Linked DNA regions of Oryctolagus cuniculus. The protein of the gene in region 1 binds, or shares a complex with, the protein of each later gene. Links are inferred from orthologs where the notes say so. Each region holds a gene or a part of one and is shown on either strand. Other genes may lie near its edges.

What was found.
Region 2: the proteins of BAK1 (region 1) and PXT1 are in contact, whole or in part, in a crystal structure (PDB 8GSV), measured with the Homo sapiens proteins. The link is inferred for Oryctolagus cuniculus from reciprocal best matches to the Homo sapiens genes BAK1 and PXT1. Residues at the interface, in NP_001179.1 of Homo sapiens: Ile81, Gly82, Asp84, Ile85, Asn86, Arg88, Tyr89, Glu92, Phe93, Met96, Leu97, His99, Leu100, Tyr110, Lys113, Ile114, Ser117, Leu118, Glu120, Ser121, Asn124, Trp125, Gly126, Arg127, Val129, Ala130, Phe134, Asn182; in NP_694535.2 of Homo sapiens: Ile78, Ile79, His80, Lys81, Leu82, Ala83, Met84, Gln85, Leu86, Arg87, His88, Ile89, Gly90, Asp91, Asn92, Ile93, Asp94, Arg96, Met97.
Region 3: the proteins of BAK1 (region 1) and BNIP5 are in contact, whole or in part, in a crystal structure (PDB 8IGC), measured with the Homo sapiens proteins. The link is inferred for Oryctolagus cuniculus from reciprocal best matches to the Homo sapiens genes BAK1 and BNIP5. Residues at the interface, in NP_001179.1 of Homo sapiens: Leu78, Ile81, Gly82, Ile85, Tyr89, Glu92, Phe93, Met96, His99, Leu100, Tyr110, Lys113, Ile114, Ser117, Leu118, Ser121, Asn124, Trp125, Gly126, Arg127, Val129, Ala130, Phe134, Ala180, Leu183; in NP_001010903.3 of Homo sapiens: Ile246, Ile247, Gln248, Met249, Ile250, Val251, Leu253, Leu254, Lys255, Arg256, Val257, Gly258, Asp259, Gln260, Trp261, Glu262, Glu264, Gln265, Ser266.

What each region holds. Positions count from the first base shown.
Region 1 is NC_091436.1:135,609,896-135,616,357, reverse strand, and holds the start of BAK1 (bcl-2 homologous antagonist/killer), read right to left. Parts: upstream 4,199-6,462; 5' UTR 3,975-4,198; intron 3,079-3,974; 5' UTR 2,990-3,078; exon of another isoform or gene 2,978-2,989; intron 1,063-2,977; 5' UTR 1,030-1,062; coding exon 960-1,029; intron 185-959; coding exon 49-184; intron 1-48. Other genes in the region: gametogenetin-binding protein 1, read left to right, coding at 5,642-6,072. UniProt on the Homo sapiens protein: Plays a role in the mitochondrial apoptotic process. Upon arrival of cell death signals, promotes mitochondrial outer membrane (MOM) permeabilization by oligomerizing to form pores within the MOM.
Region 2 is NC_091436.1:133,116,610-133,122,404, reverse strand, and holds part of PXT1 (peroxisomal testis-specific protein 1), read right to left. Parts: intron 1,002-5,795; coding exon 871-1,001; intron 1-870.
Region 3 is NC_091436.1:133,166,065-133,171,859, reverse strand, and holds part of BNIP5 (protein BNIP5), read right to left. Parts: intron 4,471-5,795; exon of another isoform or gene 4,162-4,470; intron 3,334-4,161; exon of another isoform or gene 3,076-3,333; intron 2,315-3,075; 5' UTR 2,312-2,314; coding exon 1,753-2,311; intron 1,173-1,752; coding exon 1,053-1,172; intron 1-1,052.

The DNA.
Region 1 (6,462 bases):
CTCCACCTTCCTAAGATGGCCCTGTGGAAGCGGGGCACCAGAGTTCACCTGTTAGGTTCCAGGTGCAAGGAGATCATCTCCGGGTCAGCAGGGGCAGCCGCCCCCTCGGCCTCCTGCTCCTGCCGGTGGCGGTGGAAAACGTAGCTGCGGAAAACCTCCTCCGTGTCCCGGGCTACCTGCTGCTCTGCGGATCACAGGGGGCGCGGGGTGGGGGTCAGTGCAGGCCGCAGGACCCCGGCAGCCCCGTGCTGTTGGGTGTTCACACTTCCTCAGCCGCTCAGGCCCCGCTGGGCAGCTCATGCTGCCTCTCATTCACAGAGCCCCAGCCGGCGGGCTCTCTGATCACCACACTAGATTGCCCCTTGGCTGTCAGGAGCCCCAGGGAGGAGTGCACCCCCGTGACCTGCACAGGGTCCCACTGCAGGAGCGAGCGGCGGAGCCCGGGTGTGAAGCCAGCATCTGGGCTCCTCAGTGTTTTGGTGTGCAAGGGATGCCCAGCCCTTGCCTGCTGCAGGCTGTACTCTGGGCTTCCCTGGCCATAGGCTCAGAAAGGGGAAGGCAGAAGGCGAAAGGCGGGCGCCATCTCATTCCTCCCCAGGCACAACATTCGCTCTCTGTCCTGCAGACCTGCCTGGCTGATAAGCGCCCCAGCTTCCTGATTTCTTCTCCCACAGGGAAGCGGGGATGGTAGAACCACCCCTTCCTCTGACCTCACAGCCTTCTTGCTGGCACCCAGCCCGCCCAGGCTCCGCCCTGCCCACGCCAAGCGCCTAGCCTGGCTCACAGCTCCTGCCTTCTGCACCCGTGGGCCTTGGGTACAAAGATGTCACCTTCATCCAGAGGAGCTGCACCCAGGCAGCACAGTGCACCCCTGTGTCCGGCTTGGCCCTGTCCACCTCTGCCCACTCCACCCTCGGGATGGCCCCCATGGCTGGGGGGTGGGGGCAGGAGACCCTTACCAGAAGTGGAGGGCTCGGGAGGCTCTCCACAGCCTTCGCCAGGAGGACCTGGGCCTTGCCCGGATGCCATCTTGTTCAGGCCTCAGTGGAGGACACGGTCAGCCTGTGGGGATGGGGAGAAAAAGCAGAGATGGGCACGGGCAGGGGCCTGACCAGGCAGCCCAGAGAGGGCCTCCCGAGCAGGCTGGAGGGCACCCATTCCCATGGAGACCCCCAGTCTTCTGGGCTTTCTTTCTCTTTCTCTTTTTTTCTTTCAATTTAAGGCAGAGAGATTAATCTTCCACCCACCGGTTCAGTCTCCAAGCAGCCAGGTCTGGGCCAGGATGAAGCCAGGAGCCAGGGGCTCCATCTGGGTCTCTCAAGTGGGTGCAGGGCCCCAAGCACTTGGAGCATCAGCCACTGCTTTCCCAGGCACATTAGCAGGGAGCCGGAGCAGAAGTAGAGCAGGGCCAGCACTGTGGCGTAGCGGGTAAAGCCGCCGCCTGCAGTGCGGCATCCCATATGAGCATCGGTTCGTGTCCCGGCTGCTCCACTTCCAATCCAGCTCTTTGCTGTGGTCTGGGAAAGCAGAAGATGGCCCAAGTCCTTGAGCCCCTGCACTCATGTGGGAGACCCGGAGGGAGCTCCTGGCTTCGGATCGGACGGCTCTGGACGTTGCGGCCAACTGGGGAATGAACCAGCAGATGGAGGACCCCTCTCTCTTTCTCTGTCTCTCCTTCTCTCTCTGTGTAATTCTGACTTTCAAATAAATAAGTAAATCTTAACAAAAATTAATACAGAAAGAGAAACACAGACAGAGCTCTCCTACCTGCTGGTTCACTCCCCAAATGTCCATGGTAGTCAGGGCCGGGCCGGGCCAGCCAGGAACTCCATCCTAGCCTTCCACATGGGTGGGAGCCCCCTGGGTGCTTGAGCCATCCCCTGCTGCCCCCCAGGGTGCACATTAGCGGGCTGGGATGGGAAGCAGAGCCAGCACCCAGACCCAGGCACTGGCGGTGTGGGCGTCCCAGGCAGCGCTTCCCTGCCGCCGAACACCGTCCCCGGCACTTCTCTTCCCACCACCTCGGGTCCCGGTGGAGTCTACGCGGGGAATGGGCACTCCTGGAGCAATCACTGGCAACCCTGCAAGGGAGCTGGGGTCGCCAAGGGGAGGCAGCTGGGGACACACTCAGGGATCCGTACACATGGTCTGCGACCAGCTGCCGGGGCCTCTGGGAGGGCGTGGCCACAGCTGTGCCACTGCACATGTTAGCTTCAGAGCAGCCCAGGGCCTGCGGCACCCACAGCACACGCCTACTGCAGCCTGCCGCCCCGGCCAATCACCCACGAAGGCCTTACTTCCCCTTAGCAGGCCAGAACACAGCTGTTCCCCAGCTCAGGCCTGTTAGCTGTCTCCCGAGAGCCTATGGTGTACTCTGCCACCTTGGAGCACTGCCCAGGCCTTGAGTGTTGAAAACACACATTGACTCAGTGAGGTAAGCACCACCGTACCCATTTTACAGATGGGAAAGGTGAGGCATGCAGAGATTAGCGCCTGAGGCCAGGAGGCTAATCAGCCAGGCTGACTGGCTGTGTGAATGTTCAGGGGTCCATGAACTCAAAACTGATCTAAGAGTCATACTCTGTCAGCCGGCCTTTCTCCCCATCTACTCCCTGCCTGCTGGCCCCAGGCCGCATACACAGACTGCACAGCTTGTACCCAACGCTCACGTTGTGTACCCCAGGCCACACCGCACACCCTGGCCCCACACCTGGAACCCTGGCCTCACACCTCGTACCCAGGCCCCAGGCCTCATACCCCGGCCCCACACCTCACACCCAGACCCAAGCCTCATACTCTGGCCCCACACCTCATACCCAGGCCCCAGGACTCCTACCCCAGCCCCATGCCTCCTACCCAGGCTCAGGCCTCATACCCCAGTCCCACGCCTTATACCCCGGCCCCACCACGCCTTGTACCCAGGCCCCACACCTCGTACCCTGGCCTCACACCGTGTACCCCAGCCCACGCCTCTAACCTGGCCTCACACCTGCTCTCCTGTCCCGGCTCGGTTTCCCTCTTCGCCCCGTCCCGGCCGCAGCGCCGATCTGCCGGTGCCCTGGGCAGAGGGAGTGTTTCCTGGATGTCAGTTGTTTCACTTTCACTTTGCACCCCTTGCGGAGCCCAGTTTCCCCAAAGTTGCCTCCATCAGCAGGAAGGAAGCGCCCCCTCCTTGGCCTGCAGAGGGTGCAGCCGAGCCCGGACCCCACCCCTCCTGAGCCTGGGAACACCCCCCACCTTCTTTTCAAGCTCTCCAGGGGCTCTCTGAGAAGGGGTGGGGGCCACCTGTGTGTCTCTGCACCCCACCCTCACCTTCTTAGGGGGTGGGATAGGCTACGGCAGCCAGACTCATTAAAATAGACCTTGGCCTGGCACACCCCCTCCCCAAGCAGCTCCTTCCCCCTGCTCCCCAGGTCCCAGCACCCCCAAGACAGCACGGCCAGAGGATGCTGACCGCACCCCCAGCCCCTCCAGCACCTCCCCAGGGGCTCACTGCTAGTAAGCAGGCAGAGCCTCAGAACAGCCCCCACCAGCCCAGGCAAGTGGCCTCACCTCACCTAAGGGGACACCATCCCCAGCACCCCCAATCTGCTGGGCCTGGGATGGATGTCCCCAGGGAGATCGGCCTGGCTGGCCGGAGTGGGGTGGGGGTGGGGGAGCATGGAAAACCGAAAGTTCTCTCCCTGCCCTTGACCTAGGCTCTGACCCCCACTTCCATCCCCTGGATGGCTAAACGCCCCAGTTCTTGGTCATCCTGGGGCCAGGGCCAGAAGGGAAGCTGGGGGGTGGGGGGAGACCAAGCTAGAGGGAGCCCCAGCAAAAGCAGTCCCCTGCAGGAGTCGGAGGAACTGCCAGGCAAACCTTAAGGCCTTCCCCCACCCCCCACTCCCCAGCACCCTCCTGGAGGGCTCTCTGCCCCACCCTGGAGCCGGGGCTGCTGGATTAGGGAGCGTGGAGGGGCTCTCCCAGCTTACCTGCCCACACTCAGGCCGAGGCCATGGGTCCTCTCGAGGCCAGGCGGGTCCCAGCTTCCAGGAACAGGCGTCAGTGTTCCGGGCGGCCGGATGCAGCCTCTGCTGGTCCCGGCACGGCCCGAGGGACCCTCACGGCTCGGACGATCATAGAGGTGCTGGCTGCTCCCGGCCGCAATCAGCTCCCTCTAGAGGAAGTCGCTGGGCGGTCGCCGGATGCCGAGGCACAGGCCTGGAGCCCAGAGCGGGAAGGCCGGGGCTGGCTGAGCCCAGGGGCGGCGCGGGCGAGCGGGAGAGGCGGCAGCTCTCCTTCACCCTCCCCGACTGCCAACCCACCTCGACCTTGATCTTTCTCACTTCCTTCCATGCGTACCGATAAAGACACAGGGTGCCCAAGTTTCTTAAGCTCCAACTGCTGCAGGCCATGCACTTTAGCAACCTTGGTCTTGTGGATCCAGTCAACCAGGACCTTCTCAACAGCCCCTGGAAGTAGGTGCCATGGACTACACCCATTTTACAGATGAGCAAATCAAGCCCCAGCTGGTTTACAGAATCACTGAGCTGATTGATAATCACATCCGTAGGTGGAGAGTGATAATACTGAATTGAGATTCCACCTGTAATTCAGATCGACGCGCCAGGCACCTCGGTGGTGTCTGGAGATTGGAAATCCTGAAGTCGGCAGGCAGAGCAGCACAGATCAGAGGCCCAGCATTATGGCTGCAGCAGGCTAAGCTGTCATCTGCAATATTGGCATCCCACACGGAAGCACGGGTTTGAGTCCCGGCTGCTCCACTTCCCATCCAGCTCCCTGCTAATGTGCCGGGGGGGGGGGGGGATGCAACAAAAGATGGCCCAAGTGCTTGGGCCCCTGCACCCACGTGGGAGACCTGGCCTTGGCCTGGCCCAGCCCTGGCTGTTGCAGTGGTTGGGGGAGAGAACCAGCGGATGGAAGCTCTCTCTCTGAGTCTCCCTCTCACTCTGTAGCTTTGCCTTTTAAATAAATCAACACATCTTTAAAAGCAACAACATCCACAAACTCCATGGTGGGGACAGGCATTTGGCCCAGTGAAGAAGCTGCTGCTCAGGACGCCTGCATCCTGTATCCGAGTGCCAGGGTTCAAGCCCCAGCTCCACTTCCTATAGCAGTTTCCTGCTAGTGTGCACCCTGGAGGCACCGGGTGAGGGCTGCCATCCATGTGGGAGATCTGGATGGAGCTCCAGGCTCCTTCATTCAGCCTGGCCCAGCCCTACCTGTTGTGGGCATTTGGGGAGTGAACCAGCAGGTGCAAGATGTCTCTCTCTGTCTGGCTGCCTTTCAGATAAGATAAAAATTGTTAAATCCTCAGTGAGTGGGGACAGGGGAGGGAGGGCAGGTGCTGTCTGGCTGCGGGAATGTTCCGCAGGACAGAAGGAGGCAGGGTCCCCGCAGCCCCTGGTCTCAGTCCTGGTCCCTCTCGGCCGCCTCCCGGGACTCCTGCAGCCCCGAGAAGCAGCAGCCCGCCAGGCCTCTGCCTTTAACTCCTCCCCACCCCCACCCCATCTGCTCTGTGCCTTCTGGAACTTCCGGAAGTTTCCAACTGGAGGTTTAATTTGAAAACTCCTGTTCTTCAGCAGTTGGTCCTGGGGTGGCTACCTTGACCCTCGCTCTGAGAGGCTCCGCTCTCAGGATGGAGGCCCCAGCTCCGACCCCTCGCCCGCGGATTTTGGGCCACTCTTCCATGTTCTGCTTTTTCCATAGTTTGGCTAGGAGCAGGGACAGCCGGAAGAGCCCTGGCCAGGCGCTGGTACCGCAGCTCGGGGTCAGCTCCCTGATGCTTGGCTGCCAGGGAGGCGGAAGGAGGGAGGTGGGGCCACCTGCCACCCTGCAGGGCAGCCCATCTGTGGCCACACCCAAGGGCGCCACCCATCTGCCTTGGCTGGATCCCTTGGGGCTGGACATGGGCGACATGCGGGTCCACACCCCCGACCCCAAGGAGGTCCTGAGGGTCCCGGCCCAGGCCGTGAAGGTAAAGGCAGTGCTGCCCACCGGAAGCCAGGAAGTGCTAGGCAACCCGTCTGAGGAAGGGAGGGAAAAGGAGCAGCCAGCCTCCAGGGACAGGTGAGGGGCTGTGGAGCCCCAGGCGGGGCAGTGGCCTGGGGCTGGGGGCAGCATCTGGGCCTGGGATGGGGGCACCCAGGCTGAGAAGCGTCAGAAAGCAAGTTCCCAGCTGGATAAGGAGCTCAGTGGGGCGCCTGAATGGGCGGGGGCAGGGATAAGGGGACAGGGACAGGGAGGAGCCATCAGGGGTTGGGGGGCAGTGGGGCTGGGGGCAGGGACAGGGTCCTCCTGCAAGTGTAAGCTGTCTTCGTCCCGGAGGGAGCACTAGACACCGGAGGGGAACGAGCCAGGGCAGGCGGGGTGCCCAGCGCCCCCAGCCCCTCTGCCAGGCCCTGTCCTTGGCGCTCTCTCTCCCCCAGCACCCCACTTGCTCCCTGGCACCCCTCTCTC
Region 2 (5,795 bases), about 2.5 Mb from region 1:
TAGGCAAATGAATAGAGACAGAAAGAAAATTGGTGGGGAGGACACAGGCTCACTGAGGACAGCGTGGAGGCAGTGATGGGGATTAACAAGAATCCTCACCGGCCGTGAAGTTAAGGGAAGAAGCTGGGTTCTGAGGCACAGCCAGCCCTCCACCATGGGCCGCCATGCAATGGTTCCTCCTCTGTTGCCCACTGCAGGTTGTTCTAGAGGAAAACTAGGCTAGCTGTGGGTGTCATCACCCCCAAGATTTCAAACAGTAGCCTTTTAGTCTTTCCTAATTCCCTTATCATCTCTAACCATAATCAGAAGTCCCTGGGGGCGGGACTCGAGCCACAGCCTTCGGGTTGGTTTAAGGAGGGGAAGCCAGAGCTAAGGCACAGCTTCTGCTCCAACTGCACATTAGATTCACCCCGGGGAGCTAGGAAAATGCCAATTACATCAGAATGTCCCAGAGGTGGGCCCAGGCATCTCTAGTAGCTAAAACTCCATAGGTAATTCTAATCCTACTGTGAGAGGGTGCATCAGTTTCTCCCTAATTGATGTGCACACGGATCCCCTGGGCCATGTGCAAAAAGGCCCATTCTGGCTTGTGACTTCCTGGTGGTGTGGGCAGGATTTTGAGCATCTAACCAGGTCCCTGGGGATGCTGCTGCTGCCAGTCCACGAATCACAGCGAGGGTAGCAAGGATGACAGCAAACGCTGGCCTTGACACAGGCTCACGATTTTTAGATCTGCTGATTGTGTGTGGCATTGTTGGTCCCAGAGCTCTGACCACTCCTGGGCACCTTGGCCACGGGGCAGCAATTGCTTGCTGTCTTTGCTCTTTCCTCCCACCTGACAGGCCCTTGCTGGGAAAAAGGAAGTCTCACCTCTTGAACCATCCTGTGATTGATGCTGTCCCCAATGAGTCTCAATTGTATGGCCAACTTCTGAATTATCTCTTCCTGGTGATGGTTCTGGCCGATGCTATTCTCTTTGGGCTGAGAAGGGGGGTTGTGATCTGCATTGACAGGAAAGAGTTTGAAAGAGAAAACTCTATTAACCATGGGTAAAATGATTCACCACTAGTTACTGAAAACTACATCAGACAATGAGAGAGATGAAACCCAATCAAGAAAATAATTATCAAAAGGCAAAACCTGGGAGCATGGTAGTTAAAACCCCATTTGGGACACACGCATCCCATATTAGAGTGCCTGGGTTCAGTCCTGCTTTCTGCTAATACACACCCTACGAGGCAGCAGGTGATGGTTCAAAAAGTCAGGACGCTGCCACTCATATGATGGGAGACCTGGACTGAGTCCCTGGCTCCCAGTCTCAGCATGGCCCAGCCCTGGCTGTTGTGAGCATTTCGGGAGTGAACCGCAGATAGAAGTTCACTTGCTCTCTCTCTCTTCCTGTCAAATAAAATAATCTTTTTAGAAATTAAAACTATTTATTTATTTATTTTTAAAGATTTACTTACTTATTTTTTTATTTATTTGACAGATAGAGTTAGACAGTGAGAGAGACAGAGAGAAAGGTCTTCCTTCCGTTGGTTCACCCCCCAAATGGCCGCTACAGCCGGCACTGCACTGATCCGAAGCCAGGAGCCAGGAGCCTGGTGCTTCCTCCTGGTCTCCCATGCGGGCACAGGGGCCCAAACAACTGGGCCATCCTCCATTGCCTTCCTGGGCTACAGCAGAGAGCTGCACTGGAAGAGGAGCAACCGGGACTAGAACCCGGTGTCCATATGGGATGCCAGCGCCACAGGCAGAGGATTAACCAAGTGAGCCACAGCGCCAGCCCCACTTACTTATTTTTGAAAGAGTTACGGAGAGGAGACAGAGAGATCTTCTATCCACTGGTTGGCTCCCCAGATAGCCACAACAGCCAGCACTGGGCCAGGCTGAAGTTAGGAGTCAGAAGCTTCATCTGGGTCTCCCACATGGACCCAAGGCAAGGACCCACACACTAGGAATGTCCTCTGCTGCTTTTCAGAAGGCCATTAGTAGGGAGCAGGATCAGAAGTGGATCAGCCTGGGGCCGGCGCTGTGGCGTAGCAGGTAAAGCTGCTGCCTGCAGCGCTGGCATTCCATATGGGTGCCAGTTCAAGTCCTGGCTGCTCCACTTCCAATCCAGCTCTCTGCTATGGCCTGAGAAAGCAGTAGAGGATGGCCCAAGTCCTTGGGCCCCTGCACCCGTGAGGAAGACTTGGAAGAAGCTCCTGACTCCTGGCTTCGGATTGGTGCAGCTCTGGTCATTAGTGGCCCACTGGGGAGTGAACCAGCAGGTGGAAGACCTCTCTCTCTCTCTCTCTCTCTGCCTCTCCTCTCTCTGTGTATCTCTAACTTTCAAATTAATTAATTAATTAATTAATTTAAAAAGAAATGGATCAGCTAGGACACGAACCCGGCACCCGTATGGGATGCTGGTGTTGGCAGCTTTACCTGCTGTGCCCCAGGACCTTTTATTTTTTAAGGCCTGCCCTCAAAGCGATGGGCATTTGGTGCAGTGGTTACAACACTGCTTGGAATGCTCACATCCCACATCGCAGTGCCTGTGTTAGAGTCCCAGCTCCACTTCCAATTCCAGCTTCCTGTTAATGCACACTGGGAAGCAGCAGATGGCGGCTCAAGTGCTTGGGTCCCTGCCACCAGTGTGGGAGGCCTCGACTGAGTTCTCAACTGTTGGCTTCAATCTGGTCCAACGAGAGCTATTGCATGCATGTGGGAAGTGAACCAGGTGACAGGAGATTCTTTCTCTCTCTCTCTCTCCCTCCCTCCCTCCCTCCCTTTTTCTCTGCCTTTCTAATATATTGAAAATTTTAAAAAAAATCAAAGAGCCCAGGGTAAGAAAGAAAAATACACAACTTATGATTTACTAGGTTAGAGCAAGAGTGAGGTTTGCACAGAGGGGCCAGGAAGATGTCCCAAAGGAGCTGACAGCTGAGCTGAGTCCTGAAGTTTGAAGGATGGCCAGGAATTATCCAGGAGGGGCCAGCGCTGGGGCTTGGCAGGTGAAGCCATGGCCTACAATGCCAGTATCCCACTTGGGCATCGGTTTGTGTCCCAGCTGTTCCACTTCTGATCAAGCTCTCGGCTATGGCCTGAGAAAGCAGTAGAGGATGGCCCAAGTCCTTGGGTCCCTGCACCCACGTGGGAGACCTGGAAGAAGCTCCTGGCTCCTGGCTTCAGATCAGCTCATCTCTGGCTGTTGCAGTCATTTGGGGAGTGAACCAGCAGATGGAAGACCTCTCTCTCTCTCTCTCTCTGGTTCTACCTCTCTCTGTAACTCTGCCTTTCAAATAAATAAAATAAATAATAAATCTTTTTTTAAAAAATTAAGCGCCTGAGGTAGGCACTTGGCCTACAGCATATGGCCTGGATTCAGCATCCAACTCCAGCTTCCAGTTAATGTGGACGCTGGGAGGCAACAATGATGGCTCAAGTAATTGGGTCCCTGCCACTCATGTTGGAGACCTGGACTGAGTTCCTGGCTCCACGCGGTAGCCCTGGATACACACTTTTTTAAAATATTGAGCCTTTACACTGAAGTTGGATCTACATTAAAAAAAAAAAAAAAGTAAGTAAACTTCCTGATAATGGGAGGTTGTGTCTGGGGTTCTGTCCATTTACTTCATAAAAGTTAACGTAAAATGGGTTGAGAGCTCTGCTATGGCCCACCTGCATATGGCATTACTTGCTAGCTGAAGAGAGCTGGTGCCCCTGCCCTGTGACATTCGCACACCAAGACAGCGACACCATCATATTACAACATTGTAGCCAGAGAATATTCAGGTCATATATTGGAGGCAAGTGAGAGTCTTCTGACAAGATCATCAGACTGAAGGAAATAAGGGTCAAAATTGGCATTATTTTTGAAGAGTTGGATTTTGAATGTCCAGAGGACAAAAGTATCCCACCTAATACAATAAGGACTACTGAAAAGTTATGTGACTATATAAGCACACATGGTTCTGAAAATAAAACCTGAATCTAAATGGCCTCGTAAGAAATTTGGACAGAAGTCTCGTGTGTAATCTCTACTTAATTCCTTTGTAAGGCAGATCATCCTCCCAGTGTTGGAGCCTTCCGCCACGGCTGTGTGGCGAGGGCCCTGCAGGGGCACCAGTGCCAGCTGTCCTGGTTGCCTTCAGGGAAGTTCCTAAGCAAACCTGCTCCAAATCGGTGTGCAAGTGTCTTCCACAGCCACTTATAATGTAAATATTATATTGTCTCCTGTGCTGGTCCTCCTGCATACTCCCGATTTCATTCACTGAAAATGGGAGTTGGGTGACTTCTGGCTCAAGATTGGCTTCTCCTCCCTGAATCCCCTCCAAGACATCACCAAAATGGAGTAGAAAAAAGAAAGCCAAAACACTGAACAGGATGGGAGTCCCAGCCAACAGCAGATGAGTGGGCTGTACACGTTTCTGGAGGCAGGAAGCAGGGATAAGATGTGGACAAGTGAATCAGGCAGAGAAAAGTCCAAGGACCCATCTCAGGGGCTCCTGAGGCTTAGAAGCCTGTCTATCCCACGGAGACTGGGAGGCTGCGAGGGGGAGAGAGATGTGCCCCTTACAGGAGGGCTGATGCGGGAACAAGAGCCCCGCCTGGCACCCTTGGCACCCCCAGCCCAGTGTACTCAGCACAGATCGCAGGCACAAAAGCCCCAGAAGAGTCAGTCTTCTGCTAGCACTTAAGATTCCAGCTGAGATGGCCACATCCCCTGTCAGAGTGTCTGGGTTCCAGGCCCCACCTAAGCTACTGGCTCCAACCGCTTGCTGATGCGAACCCTGGGAAGCAGCATGTGATGGCTCAAGGAGTAGGATTCTCAAGTAGTTGGAGACCTGGCTTGAATACCTGGCTACACGGCTTCAGCTCAGCTCAGTTCCAGCCATTGCAGATATTTCAGGAGTCAATGGTAGGCAGGTAGATGGAAGCTCTTTCTGTCTCTCTACAACTCAAATTAAAAAACAAACAAGGAGGGGCCAGCACTGTGGCTCACTTGGTTAATCCTCCACCTGCAGCGCCGGCATCCCATATGGGCACCAGGTTCTAGTCCTGGTTGCTCCTCTTCCAGTCCAGCTCTCTGCTGTGGTCCGGGAGGGCAGTGGATGGCCCAAGAGCTTGTGCCCCTACACCCGCATGGGAGACCAGGAGGAAGCACCTGGCTCCTGGCTTCGGATCGGCGCAGCGTCGGCTGTAGCAGCCATTTGGGAGGTGAACCAACGGAAGGAAGACCTTTTTCTCTGTCTCTGTCTCTCTCTCTCACTGTCTAACTCCGCCTGTCAAAAAAACAAAACAAACAAAAAAACAGGGGGCTGGTGCTGTGGTTTAGCCCATAAAACCATAGCCTGCAGTGCCGGCACCCCTTATGGATTCAATTCCTAGCTGCTTCACTTCCAATCCAGCTCTCTGTTGTGGCCTTGGGCCCCTGCACCCACCTGGGAGACCCAGAAGAAGCTCCTGGCTTCTGGCTTTGGATCGGCCCAGCTCTGGCTGTCGTAGCCATTTGGGGAGTGAACCAGTGGATGGAAGACTTCCTTTCTTTCTGTATCTCCCTCTGCTTCTGCCTCTCTGTAACTCTGCTTTGCAAATAAATAAACAAATCTTTAAAAAACAAATAGAAGAACAAACACAACTCCCAAGATGATTCCAACCTGCAGCCACAGCGGAGGATCACTGACCTAGAAAACGGGAAGACATGGTCAGCTGAACTTTTCCTTCTGGGAAAGGGAGAGTGAAATGCGGTGGGGGTGAAGGTGAGGGGCTGGATGCAGACTTTGCACTCAGTCAACAGAGATCTTTTA
Region 3 (5,795 bases), about 2.4 Mb from region 1:
GTCCCGGTCGGGGCACCAGATTCTGTCCCGGTTGCCCCTCTTCCAGGCCAGCTCTCTGCTACGGCCCGGGAGTGCAGTGGAGGATGGCCCAGGTGCTTGGGCCCTGCACCCCATGGGAGACCAGGAGAAGCACCTGGCTCCTGCCTTTGGATCAGCACAGTGCGCCGGCAGCGGTGGCCATTGGAGGATTGGAGGGTGAACCAACGGCAAAAGGAAGACCTTTCTCTCTGTCTCTCTCACTGTCCACTCTGCCTGTCAAAAAAAAAAAAAAAATAGTTCATTTTAGGGCTGCCGTTATGGCGTAGTGGGTAAAGCCGCCACCTGCGGTGCTGGCATCCCATATGGGTCCAAGTTCATGTCCTGGCTGCTCCACTTCTGATCCAGCTCCCTGCTAATGGCCTGGGAAAGCAGCAGAGGATGACCCAAGTGCTTGGGCCCCTGTACCCACGTGGGAGTCCAGGAAGAAGTTCCTGGCTCAGACCGGCTTAGAAGACTAAACTGAAAAGTCTCATTGGGCCTGCGCTGTGGCGCTGTGGGTTAAAGCCCTGGTCTGAAGTGCTGGCATCCCATATGGGCGCCAGTTCTAGTCCCAGCTGCTCCTCTTCCAATCCAGCTCTCTGGTATGGCCTGGGATAGCAGTAGAAGATGGCCCAAGTCCTTGGGCCCCTGCACCCGTGTGGGAGACCCAGAAGAAGCTCCTGGCTCCTGGCTTCAAATTGGCACAGCTCCAGCGGCCATCTGGGGAGTGAACCATCAGATGGAAGGCCTCTCTCTCTCTCTGGTTCTACCTCTCTCTGTAACTCTTTCAAGTAAATAAAATAAATCTTAAAAAAAAAAAAAAAAAAAAAAAAAAAGTCCCGTTACTACCTAAGGCAGAAGCATCTGCCAGCAGTCTTTCCAAACCGAGAGACTCCCTCCTGGGAAACCCTAAAATAAGTCAGCGTGGCCACAGCACGGGGAGAGGCGAGAGGGACCAGCGGCCCGGGCTCAGCGACCATTCTGAGTGATCGGCTCATCCCAGCACTGCCCTGGCCGCAGGGACAAGGACTCACGGTCGGGCTTCGTGAGCGCCTCTTCTTGCCGGTGATCTGTGGCTTGGGGACAGACGTCTGCGGCTCCAGCACCTTCCCCTTCGGTGAGCAAGGACTGATGGAGTTGGTCATCTTCCCCACCTGGAACCCAGAGGACAGCAGGTGGCGGTGTGCGCGGGGCGGGGACATGCTCCTGGACTGTTCATCTCCGGGAGCGCAGAACCCCAGCACCCCGGGGGCATGGCCAAAGCTGGCATTTGAAAAGCAGCAGCCCCCGCTCAGGCATCCTTCTCACTGCCCCTCTCCCTAGTCCTGGAGCTTCCTGAGCTCGCCTCAGGGAAGCTCCATCTTCCTGCAGCTGCGGTGGGATTTCAGCTCCAGGGCCCAGGAGTCAGGCCAGGGAGGCACCCTGGGGACCGGCTGTCTCACTGGGGGGGTCAGCCACTTTCTCAAGGTCACACAGCAAGTTCACTCCTGATGGAGCCAACTCTAGGACCAGGGTCTGCAGCCAGCTGGGTGATGGCGTTCTCCTCTCTCCCCCTTCCCATTTCTCCTGGGTCTGTTGCTGGCCCCAGGCCACACAGCTGGAGAAGGGAGGCCCTGCCAGCCATCAGCCCTGGTGCTGAAAATGTCACAGCAGTGCTGTCCCCAGCAGTCCCCCTTTCCCTGTCCCCCCTGGTGCTGGGCAGGGTGGTGGAGCCGCCAGGCGCAGTATGCTCACCTCCGTGAGCCGGGCTCAGCCTGGGCCGCCCTGCCTGTTGGTCTCCAGCCTCCATGTCTTGAGTCCCGTTGGTTTCCTCAGGGCTGGGTTTCTTAGAGCCAGATTTCCTGCGGCTGGCCTTCGTGTCCTGGACTTTCTTCCTGCAGGCTGGTTCCCCTGCAGCCTCTGGGGGCTCTGAGGCCTGGGGGAAGCCCTCCTTCCCTCTTGGCCTCCTGCTGGCCTTTTCTTTGGGCTCCTCGGACGCCCTCAGCAGGAAGCTCAGGAGTGTCTTTAACCATCTCGGCTGGGCCCACCACCTCGGGGCCTTGTCTCTCTTGGCGTCTTGTGGGGGCCTCTGCTCTCCCATGTCTTCCGGAGGCAGGGCTGCTGACCCCACAGACAGAGCCGGGCTCTCAGGACCCCTGGCGCCATCGCTGGCCGTCCGGCGGAGCGCCCTCCTGGGCGAGGCGGCCAGGGAGAGGTTCCCTGATGTGCAGCCCCTCGGCGGGGCCTTCGGCCTGTCCAGAGACCGGGTTCTCCTGGCTGCCGGGGGCTTCCTCGGGCCCCTCTGGTTCTCCATGGGCTGCAACAAAAGCAAAGAGCCGCTTCAGGAGAGGCCCACTGGACACGGGCGTGGGGCCCTCCCGGAAGGGGGTGTCCCCGTCCCCGCTCTCGGTGGGGGAGATGGGACCACGGGGAGACAGTGCCCCCATCTCACAGAGACTTGGCAGCCCCTCCTGGGATGCCAGCAGGACGCCAGCCCCGGCCACGCCTGGGTTCAGTCCTCAGACACTGATGCGGACTGGGGCCCCCAGAACTGCACGGTGCCTCTTTCCTGTTGCTCTGAGGCGCCGAGTGTGTGCGATTCTGTGCCCGCGCAGCCTCGGGAAACAGACCCCTTCCCCGCCCTGGGGAGCTCTGGCACCTCTGCGGGCTCACGTCCTCATCGGAAACGTGCCCCACCCCTGTCCTGTGCGTCTCCCGGGCTGCCGGGGGCATTTTACGGCTGGGCTCGGGCCACGCCAGCTCTGCACCTGCAACTGAAAACCTGCCATCTGCCCTGACTCTGTTCTCTCCCTTCCACGGCTGAGCCAGCCGTAGGGCTTCCCGCCTCACTCCAATGCCCGTCTCCAGCTGTGCTCACCTGGGCGATCACACTGGCTCCTGCGGGGTCTCCCTCCTCTCCTCTTGCCCTCCTCCCAGGAGCCCCTCCCTCCAGCAGCCCCAGGGGCTCCCTCCCTTCTGGGAGCTCCTGCACTGGCCATGGCCCCCTGGGCCATCACCTCCCCCTCCCCTCTCCCTTAGCCACCCCACCATGCCTGCTTGCTGTCGCTCAGTCCCGCTCCACCTCCTGGCCTTTCTTCTGGCCAGTCCCTCTTTCTAGAACGTTCTTCTCTCAGAAGCCAAGGATATGTTCAATTGTCTCCTGCTCCTGGAGGCCCTCCCTGGCCACTGCCTCTGAGCGCTCCCTCTGCCCGCCCCCCACCTGCCGCGGTGCGAGATGGGGCACTGAAGCCCCCCTGCCTTTGGTCCGTTCTGCCAGGTCTTGCATCCTCAGCGCCCACAACAACGTCCCCGGCAGACTCCTTGCTCCATGAACAGGTACATGTGTAACGCTGAAGCGTTCAGTAACCCGTGCGACCCACTGTGCGTCCGGGCTGGGCCCATGTGAGAGGCCCTTCTGCTCCCCACGAGGAGCCAAGCGGCTTCCAGGGGAACCGGGGAGAGAACCGCCTGTTCCGGCGGCGTCTCCTGCAGGCCTGGGTGTGGGCGGCGCCCTGGGGTGCGTGTCTTTTGTCCCCCAGGCTGCTCAGAAACCTTTGCTCCTTAATGGGCCATAAAAGAAAAACAGGATGTGGGTTAGAATCCCTAACCTGTGCTCCCAGGCAGCCGTGCAGTTAGGCCAGGGGGTCATCTACGCTGATTCCCCACTGTGGTTTTTCCTGTGTTGATGAAGGTGATTTAGTGGTAGGGGCCGTAAATGTTTTTACGTCATATCCCCTGCCTGTGCGAGGTGATTCATCTACTCTGAAATGTACCCCCTTGTTATGTCCAGCACAGAGGTGTGAAGCGGGCTTCCCATATGAACCCTGGCTTGAATCCTGGCCGTACCACTTCCCATCCAGCTCTCTGCTCATGTACCTGGGGAGGCAGCAGAAGGTGGCCCAACTGCTTGGACCACTGCTACCCTCAGGGAGACCTGGAGGATGCTCCTGGCTTCTGGCAGATGGAAGACCTCTCTCTATATATTTCTGCCTTTCAAATAAATAAATATTTTTTTAGAAAAGCTGCCATCACTATGGAGATGGTTTGCAGCATGGCTGATGGCCGCAGTGTCCCCTGCCCCATTCCAGGAACACCTGTGCCTCCTAATCCGAGCATCATGCAGCTGCACCAGAAAATGCTCTTCCTTCTTTGTGTTTTTTCCAGAAAACGGACTGATTTGCCCACCGCCTCCCTCGAAGAACCCAGATCCTCGGCCCAGAGGAAGGCGAAGGCCATTGCAGCTCCATTGCTCACCCTGAAGGTGCCCTGTCCGATTCCCCTTCCTGCTGTGACCAGCGCAGCCCAGCTCCGCCCACCTCTCTGAATGCCCCACCCCCTAGCTGCCCTCATGGAAGCCAGGAGAAGCACCGGTTTCCATAGCAACACCTCCCCGTGCACACAAGCCACAGCGACGTCTTCCTAGGCTTTCTGAACGACCATTTCCAGAATTCATCAAAGCAAGGCTTTCCTTTCCTTTCCTTGTTGTCTGTCTGTGCCTCACGGGGACTCCCTCCTGTTGGAAACAGTCCCCCACCACCACCTGGGCTGATACACCTAGGCAGCAGCACAGCCTCACTGCCTGGGCTCCCAGCTGCTCTCGGGAAATTGTGGATGGCCTTGACAGAGAGTGGTTTTCAGAGCAAAGTCCACACTGGCTCAGAAACACCCCAGGGACTTCTGATAAGACAGGGCAAGTCCCATCAGCAGTCAGCAGAGAGAAAGCTGACCCCGAGCAGGAAGCCGGCCTGTTTTCCTTGTCACGCAGCTGTTTGGTTTGCTTCTGAATTGCACGTTGACCTCATCCCTGTACTGGTTTCTAATGGGTGCACCTGGCTGGGTTCCCCTCTCTGACCTCACAGAGATCCTTCACCGCGCCCCTCCCAGCCCTGTCCCTCATTCAGTAAATATAACAGCCGGCTGGCTACACACCCACCAGCTGCGCCAAGGGACCGTGCGTGTGGCACTCATGTGTGGACCCACAGCCCACACCCAGCCGTGTGTGCACAGTCTCAGAAACCCAGGGCTGGGGCCGGCATTGTGGTGCAGCAGGTAAAGCCACTGCCTGCAAAGCCACTGCCTGCAAAGTCGGCATCCCATACAGGTGCCGGTTTGTGTCCTGGCTGCTCCACTTCCCATCCAGCTCCCTGCTAATGGCCTGGGAAAGCAGTGGAAGATGGCCCAAGTGCTTGGGGCCCTGCACCCACGAGGGAGACCTGGAAGAAGCTCCTGGCTTCCTCCTGGTCCAACCCCAGCCATTGTAGCCATCTGGGGAGTGAACCAACAGAAGGAAAACTCTCTCTCTCTCTCTCTCTTACACACACACACACACACACACACATCTCCATCATTCTTTCAAAAAAAAAATCTTAAAAAGGAAAGAAGCCCAGAGTTTCTCCCCCAAATCAATGGGTGACCGCCACCACCTTGCTGCTTGCCACTTGCCCCCCTGTCCGTGTTCTGTTCTGTGACAGCAGATCCAGGTCTTGTGGCTCTTCACTGCGGCCTGCGCCTGGGAGGCCTTCAGCATCTGTGGAATGTGTAAGCGATACACAGACACAGAGCAGCCCAACTCCGCGAGCCCTTTCCTCTCCATTGACTCACTGAAACTTTGCTGTGAGACAAGAGGCCCTAAGCTATACAAGACTCCCCCAAGGTCCCACAGAAAGCCAGCAAAGGGTTGGGACTGGAATCCACCTATCTAAGATTTTAAGCCTATCTTTTTGCTCCTACCCCAATTAGCTTCCTGTAAACGCAGACACGTGCACACAGGTGAGCAAATCTGCTGTCTCATGCCACCA